Linked DNA regions of Saccharomyces cerevisiae S288C. The gene in region 2 interacts genetically with the main gene of each other region. Each region holds a gene or a part of one and is shown on either strand. Other genes may lie near its edges.

Evidence for each region.
Region 1: mutations in GAL1 (region 2) and SDS23 together harm fitness more than expected from each alone (negative genetic interaction), as found in Saccharomyces cerevisiae (one large-scale study listed by BioGRID).
Region 3: of GAL1 (region 2) and YTA6, changing one suppresses a phenotype caused by changing the other (phenotypic suppression), as found in Saccharomyces cerevisiae (one study listed by BioGRID).
Region 4: mutations in GAL1 (region 2) and GAL2 impair growth when combined (synthetic growth defect), as found in Saccharomyces cerevisiae (2 studies listed by BioGRID, with this or other methods).

What each region holds. Positions count from the first base shown.
Region 1 is NC_001139.9:391,737-399,415, forward strand, and holds SDS23 (Sds23p), read right to left. Parts: upstream 5,883-7,679; coding exon 4,299-5,882; downstream 1-4,298. Other genes in the region: YBP2 (Ybp2p), read left to right, coding at 1-254; protein kinase PKP2, read left to right, coding at 487-1,962; E2 ubiquitin-conjugating protein RAD6, read left to right, coding at 2,250-2,768; GEP7 (Gep7p), read right to left, coding at 3,230-4,093; OLE1 (stearoyl-CoA 9-desaturase), read left to right, coding at 6,892-7,679. UniProt on the Saccharomyces cerevisiae protein: Involved in DNA replication and cell separation during budding.
Region 2 is NC_001134.8:274,669-282,553, reverse strand, and holds GAL1 (galactokinase), read right to left. Parts: upstream 3,534-7,885; coding exon 1,947-3,533; downstream 1-1,946. Other genes in the region: FUR4 (uracil permease), read right to left, coding at 1-1,111; GAL10 (bifunctional UDP-glucose 4-epimerase/aldose 1-epimerase), read left to right, coding at 4,202-6,301; GAL7 (UDP-glucose:hexose-1-phosphate uridylyltransferase), read left to right, coding at 7,027-7,885. UniProt on the Saccharomyces cerevisiae protein: Galactokinase is a key enzyme in the galactose metabolism where it catalyzes the conversion of alpha-D-galactose to galactose 1-phosphate.
Region 3 is NC_001148.4:414,062-421,612, reverse strand, and holds YTA6 (putative AAA family ATPase YTA6), read right to left. Parts: upstream 5,851-7,551; coding exon 3,586-5,850; downstream 1-3,585. Other genes in the region: guanine nucleotide exchange factor MUK1, read right to left, coding at 1-665; YPL071C (uncharacterized protein), read left to right, coding at 1,095-1,565; putative ubiquitin-specific protease UBP16, read right to left, coding at 1,602-3,101; transcription regulator GCR1, read right to left, coding at 6,251-7,551.
Region 4 is NC_001144.5:286,904-294,776, forward strand, and holds GAL2 (galactose permease GAL2), read left to right. Parts: upstream 1-3,308; coding exon 3,309-5,033; downstream 5,034-7,873. Other genes in the region: cyclin-dependent protein serine/threonine kinase inhibiting protein SIC1, read left to right, coding at 1-771; EMP46 (Emp46p), read left to right, coding at 1,013-2,347; SRL2 (Srl2p), read right to left, coding at 5,491-6,669; EMP70 (Emp70p), read right to left, coding at 7,188-7,873. UniProt on the Saccharomyces cerevisiae protein: GAL2 is a facilitated diffusion transporter required for both the high-affinity galactokinase-dependent and low-affinity galactokinase-independent galactose transport processes.

The DNA.
Region 1 (7,679 bases), on a different chromosome or scaffold from region 2:
TTCATAGCATTGCTTTAATATGTTTTTCTGCCGCCAAGCAAAAGAAAAGAACGCAAGGTGATTTACTCTTGGTACTAACATATATGAAATTTTTTGTTAGTTTAAGGAACAAATGGGATTTGGGTCTGTTAACACTCATCAATAAAGAAATCTCCGAATCATTTCAAGGAGAAGGTGAGCCTGAATTAGCATTCATCAACATTTCCAATAATACTCTGGGAGAATATATAGAAGAGATGAACATACGCTCGTAAACTACATAGTAAATTAGTTGCTCTTCTCTTTTGTTCCCGAGTAAATCGAATTATTCTATTAAAGGGAAACACTATGTTTTGAGTCATCCAAACTTTCATTTTTTTCAGATTTCATCGCCCGATCGTCAAGGAATAAAAAGGGAAGGGATGGGATACTTGCATTGGAACCCAGAAAGTACGTAAAAGATGAAGATCGTGAGAGATTGGTCAATGGATAAATAGTTCTGTAATTATGTCTAAGTATCAAATTAATTGCATAAGATACCGGCACTTTCTCAGGACATCTAATATCTCGCAGATCCCTGATTTCACGAAATACTGCATTGGTCCCGTAAATGAAGAATTGGCACCTTACATCATGGAAACCATGAAGGCATACCCTTCAAATTCCGAATATATCAATCCGCAGCATTACTATCATAATAGAACGGTATTAGTAGAAAATTACTTAAAACGAAGTCCAAATCCAGTATCATTAACGCAGTTAGCGCAATATTATGACGATTCTACCAAGCTGACCAGAACCAAGATCATCAATTCCGGGAAATTTGTAAAAGAAGAACTGGTAATTAGGATCGCGCATAAATTAAATCAATTGCAACAACTTCCATTTAATGTTGTGAACAACTTCCATTTTGTTCAAGTTTATGAGTCATATTACAATATTTTTGAAAGCTTTAGAAAATATCCGACTATAAGAACTTTAGAGGACGCTTCTCAATTTGCAGATTTTATCAAAAATATGCTAGAAGGCTTCAATACTCTAAACTTACCACATTTGATAATGGGGGCTTTAGAATGTACAATTTTGGATCTTTATCCTCGTGAAAAAATGGACCAACTACTATCTGATCTGTTAAGAGCTCGAATATCAAGAAGATTGATTGTAGAGGAACACGTCAGTATCACAGCCAACTACACTAGTGGTAAGGAGGAAAATACCTTGGTATTGGGTGATATTTTTCAAGAATGTAGCGCTAAAAAATATTTATTGGAAGCCAGTGAGGAATCTCAAAAATTTATCCAAGATATGTACTTTAAAGACATTCCCATGCCAGAATTTATTATCGAAGGTGACACTCAACTAAGCTTTTACTTTTTGCCTACACATTTGAAGTATTTGTTAGGGGAGATCCTTCGAAATACTTACGAAGCAACCATGAAACACTATATTCGTAAGGGATTAGAAAAGCCGGAACCAATCATAGTAACTGTAGTAAGTAACGATGAATCCTATTTGTTTAGAATTTCAGATAAAGCTGGGGGCGTCCTCCATGATGATGAAAATCTATGGTCATTCGGTAAATCGAAAGAAAGGGCTCAAGAATCCCTAAATAATTTTCACAAGTTACCTGGTTTACAAACAGTATCTATTTATGACGAAGTACATTCCCATACTAAATATAACTCCAAACTGAAGTCATTGCAGTCAATAACATTAAAACCGTACATGCACACGTCGCTAGAACCAATGAGTTATCCTAGCATCATAAATGGGCACATCAAATATGAAACTCCCCTAATTGAATTGTTAAAGCGGTCTTTTAGATACAAGCTTGGGATTGGGTTAGCCATGTGTAAAGTGTATGCTGAATATTGGAACGGCGACCTTTCATTGCATTCAATGCCTGGATATGGTACCGATGTTGTATTAAAATTAGGCAACTTGATGAAGCATACGAAGAAACTACAATTAGATAAAGTGTGAGCTAACCATGCTTACACTATATACCAAGGAACAAATACATATTCGGAATATTAGTATGGTGACTACATTTCCCGGATTAGTGTATGTATATACAAAAAGGCACCTCCGGGTAGCCGGAGTAGAAAGCTGGAAAAATAAAAATGAAAGCGAATGGAATGTGTAAGAGAAAAAAAGGAAAGAACTATCAAGTTGCAGAGTTGATGACATAAATAGTAGAGTGGAAAATCAACGAAGATCGAATTCCAAAGATTATTTTTAGGCAGACAGAGACTAAAAGATAAAGCGTCATGTCCACACCAGCTAGAAGAAGGTTGATGAGAGATTTTAAACGTATGAAGGAAGATGCCCCACCGGGTGTATCTGCTTCACCATTACCTGATAACGTCATGGTATGGAACGCCATGATTATCGGGCCAGCCGATACTCCATATGAAGACGGAACTTTTAGGTTATTGTTGGAGTTTGATGAAGAATATCCCAATAAGCCACCGCATGTCAAATTTTTGAGTGAAATGTTTCATCCCAATGTCTATGCAAATGGTGAAATTTGTTTGGATATTTTGCAGAACAGATGGACTCCAACATATGATGTCGCATCCATATTGACATCCATTCAAAGTTTATTCAACGATCCAAATCCAGCTTCGCCAGCAAACGTTGAAGCTGCAACATTATTCAAAGATCATAAATCACAGTACGTCAAAAGAGTTAAGGAGACGGTAGAGAAATCTTGGGAGGATGATATGGACGATATGGACGATGATGATGATGATGATGACGACGACGACGACGACGAAGCAGACTGAGAAAAATCAAAAGAATCTTAATGATGAATGCCGAGCCGATATTATGAATTCGATTACCTTTTTGTTCAATCAAATATAGGGCTTCATCGTGAGTTTCTTTCTCTATCGATCCGTTTGCTTTCTATTCCTCCATCTTCTACTTTATACCGTAAAGAAAATTTAATAATGATAGAAACATTGCATATAAATAATATACTAAAAAGAAACACTGCTCTACCATAAATTTCTTTGGAGAAAATAACGTGAAATGAGAAATAAGGACAATTTGTTATCGGTTATAACTGCCGATACCCGTATCTTTTGTGTTTGATTCAAGGAATACTTATTTAGAGTAGAAAGAATATATTTACTTAGATAACTTAATGTATAATATATAAAAAAAATCAAAAAAACAGGAAAAAAAAAAATCATGAGTGAGTGGCACTTTTAACTGCAAGAATGAAGAGTGACCCCATTTTTTTTTATTCTGATATTACAGTACTCTTCTGTGCGGGCAGCTCCTTCGTTTTTTGTTTTGCACTTTCATCCAACCACACATATATGGAAACAAAAACGACGAATGAAATTATAGCTTTGCTGAATGGATCTATGCTCTTCCAAGTAAACCTTTTATCATCAAGATGAAACACCTTGACCACGTTTTGCACATCAGCAGGTAGTATATTTGCGTTTTTGTTATTTTGTAGGAGAAACCAATTATATTCGATGAATGGAAGTTTCAAGAATTGGGACCTAACTGACGGAGAAGAGTTTGTCAGGACAAATTGAGTTCGAGGTCCAAGAAAGCCAAATGACTTGTAGTACCACAACTGAATGAAATCTTGCTTTAGATCATTCCAGTTTCCTCGCATTTTCTCATTTATGGCAAAATCCAATAAATCTAAGTCATTACCACTTAACTTAGGAAAATTCTGAAGTAATATATTCGTATCTATCAACTGATTGTTATGTGTCGAAGACGGATTGAAGAATTTGTTCATAATGACACCAAGCTCGCCGTTGTTTAGACGCTCAGTTAATAAATGATCGCGTTTCAAACCACTTGTTTCGTCTTCATCTAGATCTGGTGCACTTGGCTGCAAGACGCTAAATATCTCGGACATGGTCTGTGAGAAGGAAATGGGGTTTTCTGTAGATGTAGTACTGCCATTTTGAGCTAACCGTATTTTCTGCTTCAAAAGCAGTGAAGCCGGTGGAATTCTTTCTAATTTTGGTTGATAAAATCTCTTTACCAAAAGATTTCCTGCGACTGCTTTAATCATGGGACCGATTCTGAAGGCTCTATGCGATTTTAATCTGAAGATTTTAACATTTGACAGTACCATCTCAATCGGACCTTTTAACTGATTTTAGCGAGAACATGTGTATATATTTCCTCTAAGAAAAGAAAGGGCCTAAAAACCTCGCCCCAGTGCATAATAAAAGTAAAAAAAAAAAAATCAAACTTTATTGGGATAAAATAAAAATCAGAAAAACCCTTATATATGTATATGTAGTTAAATGAAGCCAGTTTTTTTCGTCTGGTTTGTTTCAGCCTATATGCCCTCTTTGCTTTCTTGCCATCTGCGGATCAATTTCCTTATGATGCGTTTGTTTTCTTGCCAAAACACTTAATATGTCAGTCAATGACACAACACCTATCAATTTACCTGTTCTATACTCCTTTTCGAAATGTGCTGGAGTTGGAGATGCGGGACAATTACTTGGACTTTGAGGTGGTGGCATTGTGGCCGATGGAGACTGTGGTTGAGAAGGTGAGGGACCACTCAAATTTATATTTACATTTATTTTATTGTTTGATGTATCTGAAGATTTTAGAACAGGAGAGTTGGCCATCCTGGAAGATTGCGTGTTCGAATGGTATGACGACGCAAGCGATGGCAATGTCGTTACGGGTGGAGTACTTGGTGATGGAGATGAGGATTTTTCGGAAGATGCTGTTGGTTGATTGTCATTTGGTTGTACTATCCATAATCTGTGAGATTTGGTAGCGACCAATTTGGCAAACGTTCTTGCCAGGGAACTTGTTGGATACACATGGAAAATAGGAAATGAGTCCTTACCGGTCTCTAGGCCCCTTAAATTCAAAATAACCGAGACAAAATGACGACATGTATTGTGTAATAAAGGATATTGTGAAGTTCTGGTGACGTGTTTGACGTCTGTTACTGAAATATTACCAATCAAGTTTCCCTGCGGGTCAACTACCGCAATGGAAGAGATTCTTTCGACATACATTTTATGCAGAGCCATAATTAGATGCTCGTCACCTTGGATGGATATGACACGTGACTGCTTGAATGTAGGTTTATCACGGGCTGCATTTAGTACACCAATATTCAGCTCCTCCAGGGAAGAGTCCAAGAGAGGCTTCAAGTTGGGAAATGATCTCGCATTCTCCCACAGATACTTAATCAATCGACGTTGGGAAAGTATACCTTTAATCTGTGTCATTTCCACGTTCGTGATGGCAACACGATGCACACCTGAGCCTAGTATGCCTATTACCGTCGATAAGTTTTCCGTTTCGGGCAATTTGTAGAATGGATTCTTAGGTGTCAACTTTACTATCTCGCCCACGGGCACGGACTTACCATTCTGGCAGTCTGAGGTTATCTTGTCGTTGCTCACCTTGATCCTGTTTAATACAAGAAGAAGGTACGCATTGAGATCATTATAGTCGAATGTTAAACAATTCATGTCTCCCGGAAAATTCTCCACAGGCAAAGACGTTAGCTGGTGCTTGACCAGCGTGTTGAATGCTTCCTCTACGGAAATAGAACCTCTGATGAAAATCAATTTGTTCTGTTCCACCAAATTTGACAGAGGAGTGTGTTGCCACTCCTGCCTATGAACAGATAACAGATTCTGTGAATTCAAGGTGGACAAGGAGTTGCCATTATTGTTTGAGTATTCCGTGTTATCCAGCGTGGAGAGAGAAGATGAAGATGACGATTTCGAAATAGATTTATGTAGTGATTCTGTGTCGCTTTTGTTTGCTTCAGTGTTCTTGTCTGTCTGTTCGCTCAAACTATTTAAATCTGTGGAATTCGGTAATTGAGGTGGGGTAGAAAGCATTTCTACGATGGACGTGTGTCTTGTATTTTGAGGCATTGGGTGGGTCTTGCTGAAAAGATGATGTTCTGAGGTATTCGTATCGCTAGCTTGATACGCTTTTAACAAAAGTAAGCTTTTCGTTTGCAGGTTTGGTTACTTTTCTGTACGAGATGATATCGCTAAGTTTATAGTCATCTGTGAAATTTCTCAAAAACCTCATGGTTTCTCCATCACCCATTTTTCATTTCATTTGCCGGGCGGAAAAAAAAAAGGAAAAAAAAAAAAAAAAAAAATAAATGACACATGGAAATAAGTCAAGGATTAGCGGATATGTAGTTCCAGTCCGGGTTATACCATCACGTGATAATAAATCCAAATGAGAATGAGGGTGTCATATCTAATCATTATGCACGTCAAGATTCTCCGTGACTATGGCTCTTTTCTGAAGCATTTTTCGGGCGCCCGGTGGCCAAAAACTAACTCCGAGCCCGGGCATGTCCCGGGGTTAGCGGGCCCAACAAAGGCGCTTATCTGGTGGGCTTCCGTAGAAGAAAAAAAGCTGTTGAGCGAGCTATTTCGGGTATCCCAGCCTTCTCTGCAGACCGCCCCAGTTGGCTTGGCTCTGGTGCTGTTCGTTAGCATCACATCGCCTGTGACAGGCAGAGGTAATAACGGCTTAAGGTTCTCTTCGCATAGTCGGCAGCTTTCTTTCGGACGTTGAACACTCAACAAACCTTATCTAGTGCCCAACCAGGTGTGCTTCTACGAGTCTTGCTCACTCAGACACACCTATCCCTATTGTTACGGCTATGGGGATGGCACACAAAGGTGGAAATAATAGTAGTTAACAATATATGCAGCAAATCATCGGCTCCTGGCTCATCGAGTCTTGCAAATCAGCATATACATATATATATGGGGGCAGATCTTGATTCATTTATTGTTCTATTTCCATCTTTCCTACTTCTGTTTCCGTTTATATTTTGTATTACGTAGAATAGAACATCATAGTAATAGATAGTTGTGGTGATCATATTATAAACAGCACTAAAACATTACAACAAAGATGCCAACTTCTGGAACTACTATTGAATTGATTGACGACCAATTTCCAAAGGATGACTCTGCCAGCAGTGGCATTGTCGACGAAGTCGACTTAACGGAAGCTAATATTTTGGCTACTGGTTTGAATAAGAAAGCACCAAGAATTGTCAACGGTTTTGGTTCTTTAATGGGCTCCAAGGAAATGGTTTCCGTGGAATTCGACAAGAAGGGAAACGAAAAGAAGTCCAATTTGGATCGTCTGCTAGAAAAGGACAACCAAGAAAAAGAAGAAGCTAAAACTAAAATTCACATCTCCGAACAACCATGGACTTTGAATAACTGGCACCAACATTTGAACTGGTTGAACATGGTTCTTGTTTGTGGTATGCCAATGATTGGTTGGTACTTTGCTCTCTCTGGTAAAGTGCCTTTGCATTTAAACGTTTTCCTTTTCTCCGTTTTCTACTACGCTGTCGGTGGTGTTTCTATTACTGCCGGTTACCATAGATTATGGTCTCACAGATCTTACTCCGCTCACTGGCCATTGAGATTATTCTACGCTATCTTCGGTTGTGCTTCCGTTGAAGGGTCCGCTAAATGGTGGGGCCACTCTCACAGAATTCACCATCGTTACACTGATACCTTGAGAGATCCTTATGACGCTCGTAGAGGTCTATGGTACTCCCACATGGGATGGATGCTTTTGAAGCCAAATCCAAAATACAAGGCTAGAGCTGATATTACCGATATGACTGATGATTGGACCATTAGATTCCAACACAGACACTACATCTTGTTGATGTTGTTAAC
Region 2 (7,885 bases):
CAGCTGCGGTGACTAGAATTCCAATTAAACAAGTGATGGAAAACAAAAATGGAATGCACACTAATTGGGACCATAAAGCGGAGTTAGGGTTTTTTGAAAATCTAGAGAAATCTGGAGCGTTGATTACCATTGTGGAGAAATTAGCCATACAACCCATTAGTGATCTTAGAAAAGCCCACGAAAAGGCAGAGCCATGAGGTTGTACATCGGTTAAAGATCCTAAGGCAATACGCCCGTGAGCTCTTCTGATAGCCCAAATTAAGAAACCAAAAGAAGCAAACGGAACCAAGACGGCTTTAACAGTAAACAGGTGTCTAATTTTGTGAGGTGGAACCAGTAAAAATGGAAGACTGGCAGCCCAAAAGATAAAAAAACACATGAACTCGTAAGTAGTAGCATTCGGTGATCCAAAGTGATCTGGGATTTTGTCTTGTAAATCTTTTCCAAAGATAGATTTCAGCATTAATGATACGGGAGTTGCCGCAATATAAGCTTGGACACTATACCAAACGATGGCCATGACGACTCTGTTAATAACGGGCCATAAAGAGAAGAAAATACCGAATGATGCTCTAGATGATATAGGGAATGACAAATGATAAGCAGATCCAACTCTAGAGGCCAAAACAACAAAAGCACCAACGAAACCGTACCCAATCCAAATTGTTATCCAACACTGCCACCAATTTAGACCCAGTTGTAGACCTGTAGCTGCAATTTGCCAAGTGTTGATATTGAAACATTCAGCAAGCCAGAAGTAACAATAATTGTACCAGGACCAAACCCGCCTTTCTTTTTCGACGGGCTTCAAGTCCTGGTTGTACATAAATGAATCCAGAATAGAAACACCCAAGATTGATTTGTCAACGACCACATATTCATAATAGATTTTCTTCCAGAATGAGCTGTATTGAGGTTTTTCTGAGCTTACTTTTTCTTCAAAGCTCGATGCCTCATAAACTTCGGTAGTTATATTACTCTGAGATGACTTATACTCTTTTTCCAAATCCACATTATTTGGCGCAAAGGTCTCATTGGAAGATTCCATAAGTTGGCGAGAGTTCAATCTTTTTGAAGAGCCGCTTAAATGTAATGATAGATTGTCTGGCATTATTCCCTCCTATTCTTATTATGCGTAGGAATGTCTTCGAACCGAAAGATCTTCTCTATGGGGTATGCTTTAGAGTGAAATTAAGAAAGGAGTTTTATACAGATGATACCTAATCATCATATAAGTAAGAGAGAACAGAGATTTAATGGAAAATGGAAAAGGGCAAATTGGCGCTGAATCAAATAGTTTATTATATCTTTACAATTTGTCCTGATTTTGTCCTTGTCTAACTTGAAAATTTTTCATTCTGATGTCATACGACTTTTTTCCGGTCTAGGAAATCGGTGAAAGCTTTTTTTTTTTCCTATCTTCTTGTCCATCGGAATTTTTCTGTCATTTCTTTTCCTCCTCGCGCTTGTCTACTAAAATCTGAATTGTCCAAATTCAGTACAAAATTAATCAGTAGGACAAAGGGTTCTCGTAGAGTCCCCGGAAAAAAAAAAGGACAAAAAGTTTCAAGACGGCAATCTCTTTTTACTGCATCTCGTCAGTTGGCAACTTGCCAAGAACTTCGCAAATGACTTTGACATATGATAAGACGTCAACTGCCCCACGTACAATAACAAAATGGTAGTCATATCATGTCAAGAATAGGTATCCAAAACGCAGCGGTTGAAAGCATATCAAGAATTTTGTCCCTGTGTTTTAAAGTTTGTGGATAATCGAAATCTCTTACATTGAAAACATTATCATACAATCATTTATTAAGTAGTTGAAGCATGTATGAACTATAAAAGTGTTACTACTCGTTATTATTGCGTATTTTGTGATGCTAAAGTTATGAGTAGAAAAAAATGAGAAGTTGTTCTGAACAAAGTAAAAAAAAGAAGTATACTTATAATTCATATAGACAGCTGCCCAATGCTGGTTTAGAGACGATGATAGCATTTTCTAGCTCAGCATCAGTGATCTTAGGGTACTTGACCTTGTAGAACTCATTGGCAAGGGCTTCTTTTACCTTTTCTATGTTGCCATTTGGGCCCCCTGGAACCAAGTGAACAGTACAACCACCCCAGCCAGCTCCGGTCAAACGGGAACCATATGATCCATTTGACAAAGCAATGGAACAAATTTTGTCAATCTCTGGACAAGAACATTCGTAAAGTTTATCGCAAGAAGCTTGAGACTCGTTCATCAAGGCACCAAATTGCTTGAAAAAGTCTTCGTCGGCAGTAAAGCTCGCTGTAGTCATTAATTTCACAGCCTTCAAGACTCTTAAAGATTCAGAATACACATGCTTAGCCCTCTGATATAGCTTTAAGACTTGAAATCTCACTGGAGATGTTGTTAAGTAGTCTCTTGTGAATTCTTCGCGAGAACAATTCAAGGATTGTGCGACATCGTCAACACTAAAGCCCTGTTTCTTATTGGCGAGAGACTCTTCAACTAGTACTAGCATCTTTGTTAACCGTTCGATGCCGGATTCAATATCGCCGTTCCAGGGTGTGGAAATGTTGTGATATCTGGCATAATAAACGTTCATGAAATCTCTTAGATTACCTTTATTCGTGCTCGATCCTTCTTTTCCAGAAAGTAAAACAACACCGTACGTGGCAGCTAAAACATTTGCAGCTGTAGTGACTTCTACCACTCTTAAATTATAGTTGGTTGGGGCGGTTTCAAACTTGTTAGATACAACAAGGGTGTTCGCAATAACAAAGCTAATTTCATGGTTTTTTAATTGCGGAAATTTAAACGGAGTAGCCTTCAACTGCGGTTTGAACTCAACGTATAGAGCATGATCTTCCTCACCGCAAACAGAGGCAGCCTGATCCATACCGCCATTGTTAACACCAACATAATGTTCTGCAACGACCGTAATACGCATTAAATTTTGCTTGGACATATGATAACCAGGGCCCATATTCGCTTTAACAACAGCTAAAGCAACGGCACAAATGAATGCGGCCGAAGAAGACAATCCACTGCCAGTTGGTACATCACCCTCACAGAAGACTTGCAGCCCGGCCAGAGGAGCACTGGCAAACCTTTCCGGTGCAAGTTTCTTTAGAAAAGAGTGAGCAACATGGAGACCACATTTAAAGTAATTAGACCAGTCCGACACAGAAGGATCAATTGTGACATAAGAACCGTCCAACGGCAAATCGAACTTCCTTTGAGCAAATTTGGGATCAGCATTTATTAAGGTAATGGATGGATTTTTCTCGTTCAAAACTTTGACGGCGCAAAGCATATCAAAATCAATAGCTAAAGGTAAAACCGAGAAGTCACAATAATCAATATGTTCACCAATTAGATTGACTCTACCAGGCGATCTAGCAACAAAATCCGGTTTAGCATCATAAGCGCTTATAAATTTCTTAATTATGCTCGGGCACTTTTCGGCCAATGGTCTTGGTAATTCCTTTGCGCTAGAATTGAACTCAGGTACAATCACTTCTTCTGAATGAGATTTAGTCATTATAGTTTTTTCTCCTTGACGTTAAAGTATAGAGGTATATTAACAATTTTTTGTTGATACTTTTATGACATTTGAATAAGAAGTAATACAAACTGAAAATGTTGAAAGTATTAGTTAAAGTGGTTATGCAGCTTTTCCATTTATATATCTGTTAATAGATCAAAAATCATCGCTTCGCTGATTAATTACCCCAGAAATAAGGCTAAAAAACTAATCGCATTATCATCCTATGGTTGTTAATTTGATTCGTTAATTTGAAGGTTTGTGGGGCCAGGTTACTGCCAATTTTTCCTCTTCATAACCATAAAAGCTAGTATTGTAGAATCTTTATTGTTCGGAGCAGTGCGGCGCGAGGCACATCTGCGTTTCAGGAACGCGACCGGTGAAGACGAGGACGCACGGAGGAGAGTCTTCCGTCGGAGGGCTGTCGCCCGCTCGGCGGCTTCTAATCCGTACTTCAATATAGCAATGAGCAGTTAAGCGTATTACTGAAAGTTCCAAAGAGAAGGTTTTTTTAGGCTAAGATAATGGGGCTCTTTACATTTCCACAACATATAAGTAAGATTAGATATGGATATGTATATGGTGGTAATGCCATGTAATATGATTATTAAACTTCTTTGCGTCCATCCAAAAAAAAAGTAAGAATTTTTGAAAATTCAATATAAATGACAGCTCAGTTACAAAGTGAAAGTACTTCTAAAATTGTTTTGGTTACAGGTGGTGCTGGATACATTGGTTCACACACTGTGGTAGAGCTAATTGAGAATGGATATGACTGTGTTGTTGCTGATAACCTGTCGAATTCAACTTATGATTCTGTAGCCAGGTTAGAGGTCTTGACCAAGCATCACATTCCCTTCTATGAGGTTGATTTGTGTGACCGAAAAGGTCTGGAAAAGGTTTTCAAAGAATATAAAATTGATTCGGTAATTCACTTTGCTGGTTTAAAGGCTGTAGGTGAATCTACACAAATCCCGCTGAGATACTATCACAATAACATTTTGGGAACTGTCGTTTTATTAGAGTTAATGCAACAATACAACGTTTCCAAATTTGTTTTTTCATCTTCTGCTACTGTCTATGGTGATGCTACGAGATTCCCAAATATGATTCCTATCCCAGAAGAATGTCCCTTAGGGCCTACTAATCCGTATGGTCATACGAAATACGCCATTGAGAATATCTTGAATGATCTTTACAATAGCGACAAAAAAAGTTGGAAGTTTGCTATCTTGCGTTATTTTAACCCAATTGGCGCACATCCCTCTGGATTAATCGGAGAAGATCCGCTAGGTATACCAAACAATTTGTTGCCATATATGGCTCAAGTAGCTGTTGGTAGGCGCGAGAAGCTTTACATCTTCGGAGACGATTATGATTCCAGAGATGGTACCCCGATCAGGGATTATATCCACGTAGTTGATCTAGCAAAAGGTCATATTGCAGCCCTGCAATACCTAGAGGCCTACAATGAAAATGAAGGTTTGTGTCGTGAGTGGAACTTGGGTTCCGGTAAAGGTTCTACAGTTTTTGAAGTTTATCATGCATTCTGCAAAGCTTCTGGTATTGATCTTCCATACAAAGTTACGGGCAGAAGAGCAGGTGATGTTTTGAACTTGACGGCTAAACCAGATAGGGCCAAACGCGAACTGAAATGGCAGACCGAGTTGCAGGTTGAAGACTCCTGCAAGGATTTATGGAAATGGACTACTGAGAATCCTTTTGGTTACCAGTTAAGGGGTGTCGAGGCCAGATTTTCCGCTGAAGATATGCGTTATGACGCAAGATTTGTGACTATTGGTGCCGGCACCAGATTTCAAGCCACGTTTGCCAATTTGGGCGCCAGCATTGTTGACCTGAAAGTGAACGGACAATCAGTTGTTCTTGGCTATGAAAATGAGGAAGGGTATTTGAATCCTGATAGTGCTTATATAGGCGCCACGATCGGCAGGTATGCTAATCGTATTTCGAAGGGTAAGTTTAGTTTATGCAACAAAGACTATCAGTTAACCGTTAATAACGGCGTTAATGCGAATCATAGTAGTATCGGTTCTTTCCACAGAAAAAGATTTTTGGGACCCATCATTCAAAATCCTTCAAAGGATGTTTTTACCGCCGAGTACATGCTGATAGATAATGAGAAGGACACCGAATTTCCAGGTGATCTATTGGTAACCATACAGTATACTGTGAACGTTGCCCAAAAAAGTTTGGAAATGGTATATAAAGGTAAATTGACTGCTGGTGAAGCGACGCCAATAAATTTAACAAATCATAGTTATTTCAATCTGAACAAGCCATATGGAGACACTATTGAGGGTACGGAGATTATGGTGCGTTCAAAAAAATCTGTTGATGTCGACAAAAACATGATTCCTACGGGTAATATCGTCGATAGAGAAATTGCTACCTTTAACTCTACAAAGCCAACGGTCTTAGGCCCCAAAAATCCCCAGTTTGATTGTTGTTTTGTGGTGGATGAAAATGCTAAGCCAAGTCAAATCAATACTCTAAACAATGAATTGACGCTTATTGTCAAGGCTTTTCATCCCGATTCCAATATTACATTAGAAGTTTTAAGTACAGAGCCAACTTATCAATTTTATACCGGTGATTTCTTGTCTGCTGGTTACGAAGCAAGACAAGGTTTTGCAATTGAGCCTGGTAGATACATTGATGCTATCAATCAAGAGAACTGGAAAGATTGTGTAACCTTGAAAAACGGTGAAACTTACGGGTCCAAGATTGTCTACAGATTTTCCTGATTTGCCAGCTTACTATCCTTCTTGAAAATATGCACTCTATATCTTTTAGTTCTTAATTGCAACACATAGATTTGCTGTATAACGAATTTTATGCTATTTTTTAAATTTGGAGTTCAGTGATAAAAGTGTCACAGCGAATTTCCTCACATGTAGGGACCGAATTGTTTACAAGTTCTCTGTACCACCATGGAGACATCAAAAATTGAAAATCTATGGAAAGATATGGACGGTAGCAACAAGAATATAGCACGAGCCGCGGAGTTCATTTCGTTACTTTTGATATCACTCACAACTATTGCGAAGCGCTTCAGTGAAAAAATCATAAGGAAAAGTTGTAAATATTATTGGTAGTATTCGTTTGGTAAAGTAGAGGGGGTAATTTTTCCCCTTTATTTTGTTCATACATTCTTAAATTGCTTTGCCTCTCCTTTTGGAAAGCTATACTTCGGAGCACTGTTGAGCGAAGGCTCATTAGATATATTTTCTGTCATTTTCCTTAACCCAAAAATAAGGGAAAGGGTCCAAAAAGCGCTCGGACAACTGTTGACCGTGATCCGAAGGACTGGCTATACAGTGTTCACAAAATAGCCAAGCTGAAAATAATGTGTAGCTATGTTCAGTTAGTTTGGCTAGCAAAGATATAAAAGCAGGTCGGAAATATTTATGGGCATTATTATGCAGAGCATCAACATGATAAAAAAAAACAGTTGAATATTCCCTCAAAAATGACTGCTGAAGAATTTGATTTTTCTAGCCATTCCCATAGACGTTACAATCCACTAACCGATTCATGGATCTTAGTTTCTCCACACAGAGCTAAAAGACCTTGGTTAGGTCAACAGGAGGCTGCTTACAAGCCCACAGCTCCATTGTATGATCCAAAATGCTATCTATGTCCTGGTAACAAAAGAGCTACTGGTAACCTAAACCCAAGATATGAATCAACGTATATTTTCCCCAATGATTATGCTGCCGTTAGGCTCGATCAACCTATTTTACCACAGAATGATTCCAATGAGGATAATCTTAAAAATAGGCTGCTTAAAGTGCAATCTGTGAGAGGCAATTGTTTCGTCATATGTTTTAGCCCCAATCATAATCTAACCATTCCACAAATGAAACAATCAGATCTGGTTCATATTGTTAATTCTTGGCAAGCATTGACTGACGATCTCTCCAGAGAAGCAAGAGAAAATCATAAGCCTTTCAAATATGTCCAAATATTTGAAAACAAAGGTACAGCCATGGGTTGTTCCAACTTACATCCACATGGCCAAGCTTGGTGCTTAGAATCCATCCCTAGTGAAGTTTCGCAAGAATTGAAATCTTTTGATAAATATAAACGTGAACACAATACTGATTTGTTTGCCGATTACGTCAAATTAGAATCAAGAGAGAAGTCAAGAGTCGTAGTGGAGAATGAATCCTTTATTGTTGTTGTTCCATACTGGGCCATCTGGCCATTTGAGACCTTGGTCATTTCAAAGAAGAAGCTTGCCTCAATTAGCCAATTTAACCAAATGGTGAAGGAGGACCTCGCCTCGATTTTAAAGCAACTAACTATTAAGTATGATAATTTATTTG
Region 3 (7,551 bases), on a different chromosome or scaffold from region 2:
TCGATTTTCATGTTGTTTAATTCGTTGATTTTCAATTGCTTTTTTATCTCTTCAGGTGACAACATTTGTGTGGCATTAGTTGAATTTGATATTGACTCATTACTGAAAAGCGATGAAGATCTTCTTGGCCTCATAAGTGAATTTCCACTACTACTCCTACTTCTGCCAAAAATTCCGCTAAGACCACTACTTAACGTTTCTTTGGCAGCCAAGAATGAACTAGAGCCCCCGCCAGAAAAATAATAGCCATTATTATTCGCTGAACTGACGTGCTGGAATGATGCTTTATCAAATTTTATGTAAAAGCTTTGGAAAAGACTAGACAATTGCAGTACTGATAGTGGCCGTACGTACTTTGGCTGCTTTAGGTCATCAATAAAAATGTCAATTAATTTTGATAATTCTGGAGGTAAATTGGTGACAGTGTTCAACGCTTCGTCAATTTCTTGTTTTGTCAATATAGGAGACTTATTGTTTTCTAGCCTTTCTCCTGTTGTAGAGTTTTCATCACCATCACAGCTACTTCTCTCATTGTCATTTTGATCCTCATGTAGATTTTGTTGAAATTGCATGCCGCCAGTTGTGTTCTTGTATGATTCCCTGATGGATTGATTAGGGTCAAACCTTGGATTGGTTATCGGAGGAGTGAATAATTGTCTAGCCATTTGACTTTTATTGTTAGAGGGCGTACTTCTTTTTTATCTGCTCTTCTTCTTGGCTTCTAAAAATACCTTTTGCTCTAAGGGGAATGATGATTTTATGAGTGTCTATAAAGCCAATTCTCTTTCTGCCCAAGATATTAAACACCACACCAATCCGAACAAAATTCAATAGACGAACAACAGTAAGTTTTAATCTATTTTTGCTTCAATGATGCGTTTGGTTGGGTCTTTACTGGAAATCAAATAAGGCTCGGTTATTTGCACACTTTTTTATCCGGGAACCGCTCTTTTACGAAAGCAAATTTCAAAATGTATGTAATACGAAGGCATTAAATTATTCAACAACGGCGCTCGGATATGATTTATATTACACGTCTAGAACGATTAGCAGATAGTAAAACTAGTGGCACGTTTAAATGACTTTTTCATTCCATGAGTTCCCGGTTTGCAAGAAGTAATGGCAATCCCAACCACATTAGGAAAAGAAATCATTCTCCAGACCCAATAGGAATTGATAATTATAAAAGAAAAAGACTAATTATAGATTTAGAGAATTTATCCTTAAATGATAAAGGGCCCAAGAACGGACATGCAGATGATAACAATCTTATTCATAACAATATAGTATTCACAGACGCTATTGATGATAAGGTCCTGAAAGAGATCATCAAGTGTTCCACAAGTAAACGCGGCGACAATGACTTGTTTTATGACAAAATATGGGAACGTTTGAGAGAAAAAAGGCTACAAATAATAAAATGGGTAGATTATAAGGAAATTGCTTATCTAAGCTGGTGGAAGTGGTTCCATAATCAAATGACTTCGAAATACACTTATGATGGAGAGGCTGATACCGATGTTGAAATGATGGCAGTGGATACTGATGTGGATATGGATGCGTAACTTACTATTATTATAATATACCTATGTACAGGGCGGTTATTTATTTACACGTTCGTAGTATAGCATATAAGCATATTTCTGTTCATTCAAGACAGTTGAAGCGGTAGATTCCTTTATGGCGGTATCAGATATTTGCCAATAAGGATACCGCAGGGCGTTTTTGACTTTTTTATATCTGCTTTTTTTGTAATCATTATGTGCAACGTTTTGCTCGCGATTCTTGTTAACTTCATTGTTGACAACTGGTGCTCTTCTGAAGGAAGATTCATCCTCCTTCCCGAAACGAATTTCAGTCTTGCGTCTGTAACACATATAGTGTCCACTCGAATGAGAACCGGTGTGTTTCACAACACTTTTCAAATTATATTTGACTTGCCTGTTTTCTGTTATTGTCCCACTCTCAGCCAATGTATATTCAGAAAGTGTTATTCTTTCTCCAAATTTGACATTGCAGGGATTTCTAGAATATGTAATACCATTGAATGTGGATCTCGATAAGTGAACAATTAATATGTCTGGCAGTTGTACTACTACATCTTTTTTGATGACCTTTCCCTTTATATTAGATACCTGCAAATTGCCCTTTGAGTAACGCTTGACGTACTGTTCTACTTCGAATGGTAAATTTTCGTTAATTGGGGCTTTAGTGGCATAATTTTTCAATCTGTCCAACATTAAAATTTCATCCGGGGTACAGTCCTTGAAATTTCTATATTCTTCATGGTTTAAGATTGCTCTTATTTGGCAGATCAGGCATGAATAGTCGTCTATGATTTCTGTTTCATCGTGTGCTAGAATATTGGATAGATTCTCTGATGTTTGTTGTGGTACGGACAGTTCGCGGATGAAAGTCTGTTTGTATGATGGTTCTGATAGACCCTTGCATTTAAGGCATACTAGAAACTTGGAAGTCTCGCCCTCAAATGGAAACTTTGGTATATTCAAATTACATATCTGTTTACTGTAATCGATCAATTTTGATCGTTCTTCCTGTAATGTTTGTAGTAATATTAATGTAAATTCATGTGCATCATTTTGTTTGGATGAGATCTTTGATTTAAAGATGGACTCTAATGTGTTTATCACTATTTTCGGAGAAATTGACGTCTTACGATCTTTTACAGATATCAAATCCAAAATTAAACTGGTAAGACTTTCGTGTAAGGGGGCAAGTGAATTAGACGAGTTTTCAAGTCGACTATGCCTTGTAGTGTTATCAACTGTAGGATTGTCGCCTTTTGCATTATTTGACAGCTTAGTTTCTAATTCTAGAAGGACCGTTCTTATCCGTTTCAAATATTCTACAAATCGAGGTATTCCAGCCAGGCCTTGCAAAGATGATGTTATGAAGCAATCATTCCCACGATTAATTAAGCCCACTGTCGTGTACTTCCCAATACTCTGCTTAGAATCCCCAAAGACTAGCGCACTTAGGCTGGGTGCAATGGCATATAGAGAAGCAGCAATTATCAAACCACATGAAACTTTTTTAATCAGTGAAGTCGGAGATTCTGTTACATTTTTTATCCAAGACATATTGTGCTTGTAGTAACTGCTGTACCTTGCATATACTGTTTGGGCAGAAGGAGAAGGTCCAATTAGTTGTTGGAGGGTATGGCGCTAACGGTCAAGTGTTTTATAGCTGGACTTTGCTTTCCCATTAACTCAAACGTGTATATAAATTGAGATTGAAGAAGAAACTTTGAATCTAGGTTAACTGGGTGCTATTGATTTATTTTTTTTATTTCACCCAAGTATATTATTTTGTTTTCTTTTTTTATTTCATTTTTTTGGGGCCAATATAGTAAGCAAAAATCCGGAGAACTGTATTGAATATCGTTCTGAGAAAACTAATTGTAAATAAGAAAGAAAAATATCAAATCATAAGGGAACCGAAGTTAGTTTTTCTTTGATAATACATAGAAAGTACATAGGTAATAAAATTAGATCAGAAGCAAGAAGTTGAAAGGGGAAAATTCCTTCTCATACCTTTCTTTGCCATTAAGACGCTCCCTCTCGTTCAGGAACCATTACTACCGAATTTACTAGACCACTCCTCATATTTTTGTAGAGATTCTGACGACACGCTCTTTTTTATTGTCAACAGAGCATTCTGAAAATCTTTTATTTCAATTCCTCTGATTTTATCAAAATCCGCAAACATCAACTTATCTCCTAAATCTCTAATAGGTTCCATTGCCGCTTCTTTGGCTAATGACGTAAGATCAGAACCAGAAAACCCCTCGGTCATTTCTGTTATTAATTCATAGTCTAAATCTTGCAGGCTATTTTTCTGCTTGGCCATTAATCTCTTCAAATGATATAGTCTAGTTTCATAATCTGGTAAAGGAATGTATAGTTTCCGTGAAAATCGTCTTCTTGCTGCATCATCAATCGCCCATGGCAAATTCGTTGCTCCTAAGACAAGTACTCTGCTGTCAAGCGTATTATTTCGGTCTTCCGATTGTGCAGTAGCACTAGATAGGGAGGACCACTGAATAAGAAGTTCTGTTTTAATTCTCCTCGAGGACTCATTTTCATTATCAGAGCGAGCTGTTAACATAGAGTCAATCTCATCTATGAAAATAATTGAGGGTGACAATTTTTTGGCCATGTAAAACAATGCTCTAACCAGCTTCTCAGATTCACCGAGGTATTTCGATAGCAAAGAAGATGCACTTACACTAAAAAATGTGGAATTGGACTCTGTCGCAACCGCCTTAGCAATCATTGTCTTACCTGTACCTGGTGGGCCGAACAAAAGCATACCTCTAACAGGTTCTCTTAGCCCTTTGAATAAGTCAGGCCGCAGAAATGGGTAAACCACTGCTTCTTTCAAAGAATTCTTCGCATTCCGTAAGCCTGCGATATCCTCCCAATAAACTTTTTCATCCGTAACAAGAATTTCATTAAGTATCTGTTCACAAGCGTTTCGATCTACTCCCTGCACTGATTTTAATATATCCTCCTTTCTGGAATCGAGGGATGAACTAGCAGAGCTTTCCTTATCGGGTGTACCACTTTTAGAACGCATGGGTTTGGATTCAGCAGGTACCGCTGTCGCTGAAACGAGTACTGGTGAACTAGGCTCCAAATTTTGCTCATTCCTACGAGAAACTTTGTTAGTATTGGATTTACTAGCCTTCAGCTTGCTATTTGTGGGTATATTCCGTGAAGACTTGCTGTTTTGCCTGTTAAGAGTAGGTGATTTTATAATCGGTCGATTAACTGTTGGCTTTTTGTAGTCATACCTTTTTTTCAAAGGTGGTGTTGGCTTATAACGTATCTGAAGTTCATTTGAATGCGATCCGTTGTTACTCACTTTTGAATGATTTGCCCCGTTTTGATACTGAGACCAGGCTAACTGCGCAGCCATACCTATTTCTGCTGCCTCCATTGATTTTCTTACTGGCGTTCGTACTCTTTCGCCTGAAGTCCGTACAACGTCAAGTGATCTTCTTTTAATTAGGGAGTTGTCAATCTTTCCAGAAGATTTGCTACTGGAAGAGAAGTTGTCGAGGCTAGCCCTTGATTTGTAATTTGTTTTCCTCTCATGTTTCAGGGTTGATATACGTTTTTTCTCCGCTTGTTCTCTATGTTTGCGTTCTTCTTCCTCTCTCTTAACTCTCTCCTCCTCCAACTTTTGGGCCACTTCAAATTCGACCTTTTCTTTAACCTTTAACTCGATCAATTTTTCCCTTTGAAGTTCTAAGTCCCTCTCATACTGAAGTTTTGCTCCTAACTTTTTCTCTTCTTCTAATTTCCTAGCACGTCTGATATTATCAGCCTGTTTGTTGATTTTAGCCTCCTTTTCGTCAGCTTCTTTCAATTTATCTCTTTTGGAACCCATTCTCCAAAGTTTTGGAAAACGCAAACCATTTCCTGTCCCAAGGCCCAAAACGGAAGAGGAGGATGACAAAGAGGGACTACCGTTTCCTTCGGCCATAAGCGTTTCTGCTTTACGACGTGCGATCCTTATATCCTGGCCAAGAATTTGGAAATCCTCAATGATGCTCCTCAATTCAGGATGATCAACTACAAGATTTCCTAACCCTTTCTTTAAGGTATAAGTCTTTTCAATTTTTCGTAGACCTTCATTGACGTATACCAGTAAAGTGTCTAAGTTTTTGTGGATTTTCCCATACGTTACTGTGTCCTTATTACCTTTGCTATTGATTATTAGGTCTGCTAGGTTTTTATATTGATTTTTGACAACAGAGTAAAGCAATTGCAAAGACTGCGCTAATGTGAAGTTCTCAGGTATACTAAACTTTTCATGTGCCATTATCCTAGACTTTTTTGTGTTCCCTCCTCGGACTTTTCTTCACCCAGGGTCTTACCTCTTTTGCTAATGAGATTAATGTTTTTTCCATCTTTCAAAATTTCGGATAGCCCATCTATCCAGCGGGTTTTCTCAATTCGCCAGGGTCTTTGACAAAAAAATTAAGTTTTCGTAACCCATATAGTCAGTCATGAGAATATATATTTAGTCGTTGATGGAAAGACATTTAGGAATTCCCACATAGGCATACATCCGCATAGGTATGTACACACATAAATCTATATAAATATTAAATAAGTATATATATTTTCTATAAAGGTAGTAATAACCTAATGACATTTCTCGTTATCGTCGCTTCGTTATTTTGTTGAAGGAACTATTGTCGCGGACAACCTCAATAAACTTAAGATGGTGTATTATGTCGCCTTTTGCAATACTTTAATTTCTCTTCTTCTGTCATTGATCTAACGTTCCAATTTTTAAAGTTTTCAAAAATACAAATTTCCTTGTTATTTTTCGTTAAATTTCTAAAGTACAATGATAGAGAATTCAGAGTCAGACCGTTATTTATCCTGAACTTTTCTAGGTCCCCTACTAAAATCTTCCGTATATCCTCCCTCGGTTGTTGAGGATTAGTAAACCTGCCGAGTTTTATGCCACGATCACATTCCGTTTCAATATAATCCATAATAATTCTTCTAGTAGGAAAAAAATGTGAATCTTCGCTAACCTTCCACCTTCGCCAGCCATAATTTTCAATCAATTTTTTTATTGAAGATTTACCGTTCAGACCAATATACCACTCCGCATATAGGTCCCATATTGTTTTATTTTCTCTGGACAGCTTGTATTTGATTGCCTCGTTTGGCCCCGCCTTCGTATCCTTTTTATTTATAATTTCAAACTTAGAAGAACTCTGCGGAAATGATGGAGCTGTCTTTGTCACTGTACCACTTGAATTTGCAGCCTCAGTAGAATTATGAATATTAGAAATTGGTACTGGTTTGTCAGCATCCGTACCAAGCGGATTACTGTTTTTACCATTTTTCTCAGGATCTTTCGATTCTGGGCTGTTATCATTGGGCTCCGACTTACTTGACTCTGGCGGTTTCTCCCTATCAACATCATCACCAGCTACCTCGGTGGGACTTTCAGGCATGCTAGTAGTGGAGTCGTTGTTTGGAAGACGAGGTCGTTCAGCTAGTTTTGAAGAAGATGATGGAGAATCTTCATTTACCTTCTTAGAGTTATTTTCCGTTGTTGAACTTGAGCTACCACCAACTACAAAATCTGGAGAATGCTGAAACTGCTGAGGTGAGCGAAAAGATTCCGTGACAGCTGTGTTAGCCAACGTCGAAAGGGGTAATCTAGGGCTTGAAATGGATTTTGTAAGTAAGGAATCAAGAGCCGTCTGAGACGGAGTTGGTTTATCGTCTAGTTTAAAGCGTTTGCTATAGGGAGACTCACCAACGGGTGATGGAGAAAAAGGACTGCCTGTTGCTGCAGAGGCTATTGAACCTGGTAACGGTAGCTTCCTCTTCTGTACTATATCTTGCGGTTGCGGAGCCAAGGTGCCAAGCATCGGCTGTATAGAATTACTTAAGCTCGGGAACATGTTAATTGGCGCTAGCGCAGGGCTATTAGTACTTTGAACCTGTGCATGTGATTGTCCTTTCGGACCCCTTTGATGTGTTTGGGCTTGTC
Region 4 (7,873 bases), on a different chromosome or scaffold from region 2:
CAAGGTCAAAAGACCCCCCAAAAGCCTTCACAGAACCTAGTCCCTGTCACTCCCTCAACAACTAAGTCTTTTAAAAATGCGCCATTATTAGCACCTCCCAATTCGAACATGGGTATGACCTCTCCATTTAATGGGCTTACGTCTCCTCAACGCTCGCCGTTTCCAAAATCTTCAGTGAAGAGGACACTATTCCAATTTGAAAGTCATGATAATGGAACAGTAAGGGAAGAGCAGGAACCATTGGGTCGTGTAAATAGGATATTGTTTCCCACGCAGCAAAATGTGGATATAGATGCAGCAGAAGAAGAAGAAGAAGGAGAAGTTCTTCTTCCCCCCAGCAGACCTACATCTGCCAGGCAGTTACATTTATCACTTGAAAGAGATGAGTTTGATCAGACACATAGAAAGAAGATTATTAAAGATGTACCTGGTACGCCCAGCGACAAGGTGATAACATTTGAATTGGCAAAAAATTGGAACAACAACTCTCCGAAAAATGACGCCAGGAGTCAAGAAAGTGAAGACGAGGAAGACATCATCATCAATCCAGTGCGGGTGGGTAAAAATCCCTTTGCATCAGATGAACTGGTCACTCAGGAAATTAGAAATGAACGTAAAAGGGCAATGTTGAGAGAAAACCCAGATATAGAAGACGTAATAACATATGTCAATAAGAAGGGAGAGGTGGTAGAGAAACGAAGGTTAACGGATGAAGAAAAGAGAAGATTCAAGCCAAAGGCATTGTTTCAATCTAGGGATCAAGAGCATTGAAGAAATGAAAAAAAAAAGTTTCTGGAACGATTATATTTTATTTACTTACTTATTCTACATTTATTTGCAAAGGGGCATTAACATCAACATTTTACATATTATAATATATACAGGATATTCTATATTACAACATTAACAGGATTTTTAACTTTTCCTTACCGTATTCTTTTATTCTGGTTTTCTGTCTTCAGAATAATAGCATATTTCATTGTAGTATTTCGTCAAAGCGAGTTAGGGGAGGATGACTACAAGAAAGACAGCTTCCTCTCTTCAGCTTTTAGGGAAAATCACAGGAACAAAAGCTGGAACTAAGCAAAAGAAGATGAATTTCATTAATGGACTGATATGGTTATATATGTGTGTGTGGATGGTACACGGAAAAGTGACGCAGAAGGATGAATTGAAATGGAATAAAGGATACTCGCTACCAAATTTGCTAGAAGTGACAGATCAGCAAAAAGAACTTTCACAATGGACTTTGGGTGACAAAGTAAAACTTGAAGAAGGGAGGTTTGTTTTAACTCCTGGAAAGAACACAAAGGGTTCACTTTGGTTGAAACCTGAATATTCAATAAAGGATGCAATGACAATAGAGTGGACGTTTAGAAGTTTCGGGTTCAGAGGCAGCACAAAGGGGGGTCTTGCATTTTGGCTGAAGCAAGGAAATGAGGGAGATAGTACCGAGTTATTTGGTGGAAGTTCGAAGAAGTTTAATGGTTTGATGATATTGTTACGATTAGACGATAAGTTGGGAGAGAGCGTGACAGCGTATTTGAATGACGGAACAAAAGATCTTGATATTGAATCCTCACCGTACTTTGCGTCATGTCTGTTCCAATACCAGGATTCCATGGTACCATCAACATTAAGATTGACTTACAATCCACTAGATAATCACTTGTTAAAGTTGCAAATGGACAACAGAGTGTGTTTCCAGACAAGGAAAGTTAAATTTATGGGCAGCAGCCCATTTAGGATTGGAACAAGTGCTATCAACGATGCATCCAAAGAATCGTTTGAAATCTTGAAAATGAAGCTTTATGACGGAGTTATAGAGGATTCGCTAATTCCTAACGTGAATCCTATGGGACAACCCAGAGTGGTTACTAAAGTGATCAATTCTCAAACTGGTGAAGAGAGTTTCAGGGAAAAGATGCCATTTTCTGATAAGGAAGAAAGTATAACGAGTAACGAGCTTTTCGAAAAGATGAACAAGTTGGAGGGGAAAATCATGGCAAATGATATCGATCCATTACTCCGCAAGATGAACAAGATTGTGGAGAATGAACGTGAACTGATTCAACGTTTAAGACCACTGTTAGATCTGAAGAAAACAGCCATAAGTGACGATAGTTTCCAAGATTTTCTTTCGATGAACGCAAACCTGGACAGATTGATAAAAGAACAAGAAAAAATTCGACAAGATGCCAAGCTGTATGGCAAGCAGACCAAAGGTCATGATGAGATATTTTCCAAAATAAGTGTATGGTTGGCACTGCTGATTTTCATTATGATCACATTGGCGTACTACATGTTTAGAATTAACCAAGACATCAAGAAGGTCAAACTTCTGTAAGCTCTTGTGTCTTTGTTATATGGGTACAAGATATAAGAAACATAACTATTACATACGAAAATGTGCATGTTATCTATATCCTTCTTTATATAGATGCTGTTAACTTCTTTTTTTTTTTTTGGGAAAATCAACTGTTAAACGCGACAGTAAAAGCAGCAAAACATTAATTTTGCTTCCAAGACGACAGTAATATGTCTCCTACAATACCAGTTTCGCTGCAGAAGGCACATCTATTACATTTACTGAGCATAACGGGCTGTACTAATCCAAGGAGGTTTACGGACCAGGGGAACTTTCCAGATTCAGATCACAGCAATATAGGACTAGAAAATATCAGGTAGCCGCACTCAACTTGTAACTGGCAACTACTTTGCATCAAACTCCAATTAAATGCGGTAGAATCTTTTCACAAAAGGTACTCAACGTCAATTCGGAAAGCTTCCTTCCGGAATGGCTTAAGTAGGTTGCAATTTCTTTTTCTATTAGTAGCTAAAAATGGGTCACGTGATCTATATTCGAAAGGGGCGGTTGCCTCAGGAAGGCACCGGCGGTCTTTCGTCCGTGCGGAGATATCTGCGCCGTTCAGGGGTCCATGTGCCTTGGACGATATTAAGGCAGAAGGCAGTATCGGGGCGGATCACTCCGAACCGAGATTAGTTAAGCCCTTCCCATCTCAAGATGGGGAGCAAATGGCATTATACTCCTGCTAGAAAGTTAACTGTGCACATATTCTTAAATTATACAACATTCTGGAGAGCTATTGTTCAAAAAACAAACATTTCGCAGGCTAAAATGTGGAGATAGGATAAGTTTTGTAGACATATATAAACAATCAGTAATTGGATTGAAAATTTGGTGTTGTGAATTGCTCTTCATTATGCACCTTATTCAATTATCATCAAGAATAGTAATAGTTAAGTAAACACAAGATTAACATAATAAAAAAAATAATTCTTTCATAATGGCAGTTGAGGAGAACAATATGCCTGTTGTTTCACAGCAACCCCAAGCTGGTGAAGACGTGATCTCTTCACTCAGTAAAGATTCCCATTTAAGCGCACAATCTCAAAAGTATTCTAATGATGAATTGAAAGCCGGTGAGTCAGGGTCTGAAGGCTCCCAAAGTGTTCCTATAGAGATACCCAAGAAGCCCATGTCTGAATATGTTACCGTTTCCTTGCTTTGTTTGTGTGTTGCCTTCGGCGGCTTCATGTTTGGCTGGGATACCGGTACTATTTCTGGGTTTGTTGTCCAAACAGACTTTTTGAGAAGGTTTGGTATGAAACATAAGGATGGTACCCACTATTTGTCAAACGTCAGAACAGGTTTAATCGTCGCCATTTTCAATATTGGCTGTGCCTTTGGTGGTATTATACTTTCCAAAGGTGGAGATATGTATGGCCGTAAAAAGGGTCTTTCGATTGTCGTCTCGGTTTATATAGTTGGTATTATCATTCAAATTGCCTCTATCAACAAGTGGTACCAATATTTCATTGGTAGAATCATATCTGGTTTGGGTGTCGGCGGCATCGCCGTCTTATGTCCTATGTTGATCTCTGAAATTGCTCCAAAGCACTTGAGAGGCACACTAGTTTCTTGTTATCAGCTGATGATTACTGCAGGTATCTTTTTGGGCTACTGTACTAATTACGGTACAAAGAGCTATTCGAACTCAGTTCAATGGAGAGTTCCATTAGGGCTATGTTTCGCTTGGTCATTATTTATGATTGGCGCTTTGACGTTAGTTCCTGAATCCCCACGTTATTTATGTGAGGTGAATAAGGTAGAAGACGCCAAGCGTTCCATTGCTAAGTCTAACAAGGTGTCACCAGAGGATCCTGCCGTCCAGGCAGAGTTAGATCTGATCATGGCCGGTATAGAAGCTGAAAAACTGGCTGGCAATGCGTCCTGGGGGGAATTATTTTCCACCAAGACCAAAGTATTTCAACGTTTGTTGATGGGTGTGTTTGTTCAAATGTTCCAACAATTAACCGGTAACAATTATTTTTTCTACTACGGTACCGTTATTTTCAAGTCAGTTGGCCTGGATGATTCCTTTGAAACATCCATTGTCATTGGTGTAGTCAACTTTGCCTCCACTTTCTTTAGTTTGTGGACTGTCGAAAACTTGGGACATCGTAAATGTTTACTTTTGGGCGCTGCCACTATGATGGCTTGTATGGTCATCTACGCCTCTGTTGGTGTTACTAGATTATATCCTCACGGTAAAAGCCAGCCATCTTCTAAAGGTGCCGGTAACTGTATGATTGTCTTTACCTGTTTTTATATTTTCTGTTATGCCACAACCTGGGCGCCAGTTGCCTGGGTCATCACAGCAGAATCATTCCCACTGAGAGTCAAGTCGAAATGTATGGCGTTGGCCTCTGCTTCCAATTGGGTATGGGGGTTCTTGATTGCATTTTTCACCCCATTCATCACATCTGCCATTAACTTCTACTACGGTTATGTCTTCATGGGCTGTTTGGTTGCCATGTTTTTTTATGTCTTTTTCTTTGTTCCAGAAACTAAAGGCCTATCGTTAGAAGAAATTCAAGAATTATGGGAAGAAGGTGTTTTACCTTGGAAATCTGAAGGCTGGATTCCTTCATCCAGAAGAGGTAATAATTACGATTTAGAGGATTTACAACATGACGACAAACCGTGGTACAAGGCCATGCTAGAATAATGCGTTTGAAGTGAGACGCTCCATCATCTCTCTTAATTTTTCATGACTGACGTTTTTTCTTCATTTTAATTATCATAGTATTTGTTTGAAAAAAAAAAAAAAAAATTTCCCTTATCAATGATATCCTTACGATTATATAAATTCCTTACCTAAACCTATTATTTGTGTACATATATCAGAGTATTATTACATATATAACCTTTTTCTCTAAAACAGGAAAAAAAAAAGAAAACGATAACATGCTCTGCCATCCTTTGTTCACCGAGCAAAATTAAAAACGCAAAATGAATTGTCCCTATGAAATTATTAAAGGACCACATCACCAGACTTATCTCTGGGGGGTCCTCTAGAAAATAAGTCAGGTACTTGCCTGGACTTTCTTCCAGTTGAATTCCTGAGCTAACATACAATTAATGGAGTGAGAATGTTCGAACGATCCAGGAGTTGCTTTTTTCAGTCATTTGTTTATCAGTGTAACAAGCATTTCCTTTATTTCTTTTATATCAACCTGCAACCTATTAATATTCAATTCAACGTCTCGGAGCTTTTCTCGTACCGTTTTACCATCATCCATTTCCATGCTAACTAATTCTGAGATTACGATTACATATTGTCTCAGTTCTGGTTCATCAATGGCTGATAAAACTTTCATTACATTTTGGAAAAAATCTTCGTCATTTAGGTCTAAAGTCAGGATTTGGTTCCTTATAGACTCTCTACGATCTTTTTTCAAGTTTTTTTCTGAAGAAATATGTCCATTTTCATTAGTGACAGCGGTAGAGTCCTCTTCCGCTCGAACCAAACTATCACTGCCGGTGTTTTCCTCTCGAAAGGGTTTGTCTTTACCAATGGAAAGACGCCCGTCTTCTGCGCTTTCATATAATTTGACAGTGGCTATATTGAACTGTTCTTGCAAATCGCCAGTTTTGGCATCCCCTACCCAACCTTTTTCATGCAATTCCTTTCCTTGAGTGACCCAAGCGACGAGGTTATCTCTAATATATCTTGAAGTTATAGGTACTCTTGATTTCTCCTTATAAACTCTGTTAAAAAACTCAGCTATCATTTGATGACATAATATAGGTCTCCTTTTACTTGCTCTCTTTGTTGTGTGGAGCAAGAGGGCCCAATATATGACTGTTAACTTTTCACAAAGACTTTTTTCTTTATTATTGGACCATCGAAACTTCCTTAGTTGCCTTGTTTCCGCTTCGTCATTACTGTTTCCCCCCAAGTCTGTGGGGGCTCCAACGTGCAATATGTCGTTGTCAATATCACTAGAAGTATGAGTTTCCACATTCAACTTGGTATTAGTAGTGTTAATTCTTTTATTAAAGCAAATAGTATGTGTAGATTGCAGGAGGTCGAAGCTCTTCGGATTGGCAAAATCAATATTCTGCTCTATAATTTTCACAGGTTTTGTTGGCAGTATTTGTGCAATTCCTGTCATTGAGTTTCTAAATACATTCTTTTGGTCATATTTTGAAGTGCTCTTTTTGCTTTTATGTACTTTTTTTGAAGAGGACGCATTCACATTTGTTACTTCCAATTTCTCTTCCTCCATTTTTGGCGTTTCAGAGGGCTTTCCGTAATAATCTTCAAAGGAATTTAAAGTAAAATTCTTAAAGTTGGACATCCAAAAGGATCTTCACAATATAAGCGTTTTTCTGTCCACCAGCTTCAACAAGCTTCAGCCTACTACCAATTTCTAATACTGTTTTATCTTATTACTTGCTTACTTATCCACTCCCATTGTTTTGTCCTAGATGACAGCATCACCCGGACTGAATATTAAAGCGTCAGTGTCACTTATTTTAAGTCATAATCAAGTCCTTTTAATGTGGCTATAGATTAACCCTGTACACTAAAGCTGTATATTATTTCCTTAAAGGAGCATTTATTCCCAAACTGTAACGCAGAATGTCATTCCAGAATCATGGAAAAAAGATTCAAATAAATAAATGTATATACACCAAAAATTACAACTTCGAATCCTATAGTACTTTTAATCTTTTTGAAAAAAATATTACTAAAAACTATGTATCATGTCCAAAGGCCATAGGGCCTAGCATTTTCTTTGTTAAAAAAGATAAACAGTAGAGAAATAAATAAAAAACGCCCTAACCCAACATATAGGACCTCTTTTTCGTTGGCCTAGTCAACTTTAATGGATGAGTAGATTTTTCTAACAAAGAGCATACTGCTGATAAAGCCAATTGACCCCGTTACCAAACAGCAGAGTAATGAAATGACTGAGGAGTATCCCACGTATAAGACAATAGTCGTGAATCCACCCAACTTAAATTTGGTGAATAAAATAGAATGAATAAACACATACAAAGCACAACCGGCGCCTCCAATTATGAATCCTCTCCATTGCCACTTCCAGTTCTCCAGGCATAAGGAATGATAAGTGATCAAAATAGTGACGAGTGAACTTGTCAAAGTTAATAGGAGGAAAGAGAAAAAGAGGAAACCAAACATGTAAAAAATCTTATTAAACCATAAACTTGTGTATATGAAATACAACTCAACGGCGATGGAGCCAAATGGAAAGATACCAGCAATCAAAGTAGCTGGTATAGTCTTTAAATACCAAGGCTGGAAGGGTATTTGTCTTGCGATTTGGTTTGTCTTGGTTGGATGTTCATCCCAGTGACATCTTTTCCTGGCAATCAATGAACCAGCAAATGATAATGGGATTGAGAACAAAAACCATAGAAAAACCATAAAAAACAGAGTACTTGCTGGTATGACACCAGAAGAATGAACAAACATTAAGAAAAAGTTCAACGCAATAATTATTAGCAGAATAGCACCAGGAACTAGAAGTGGAGTCA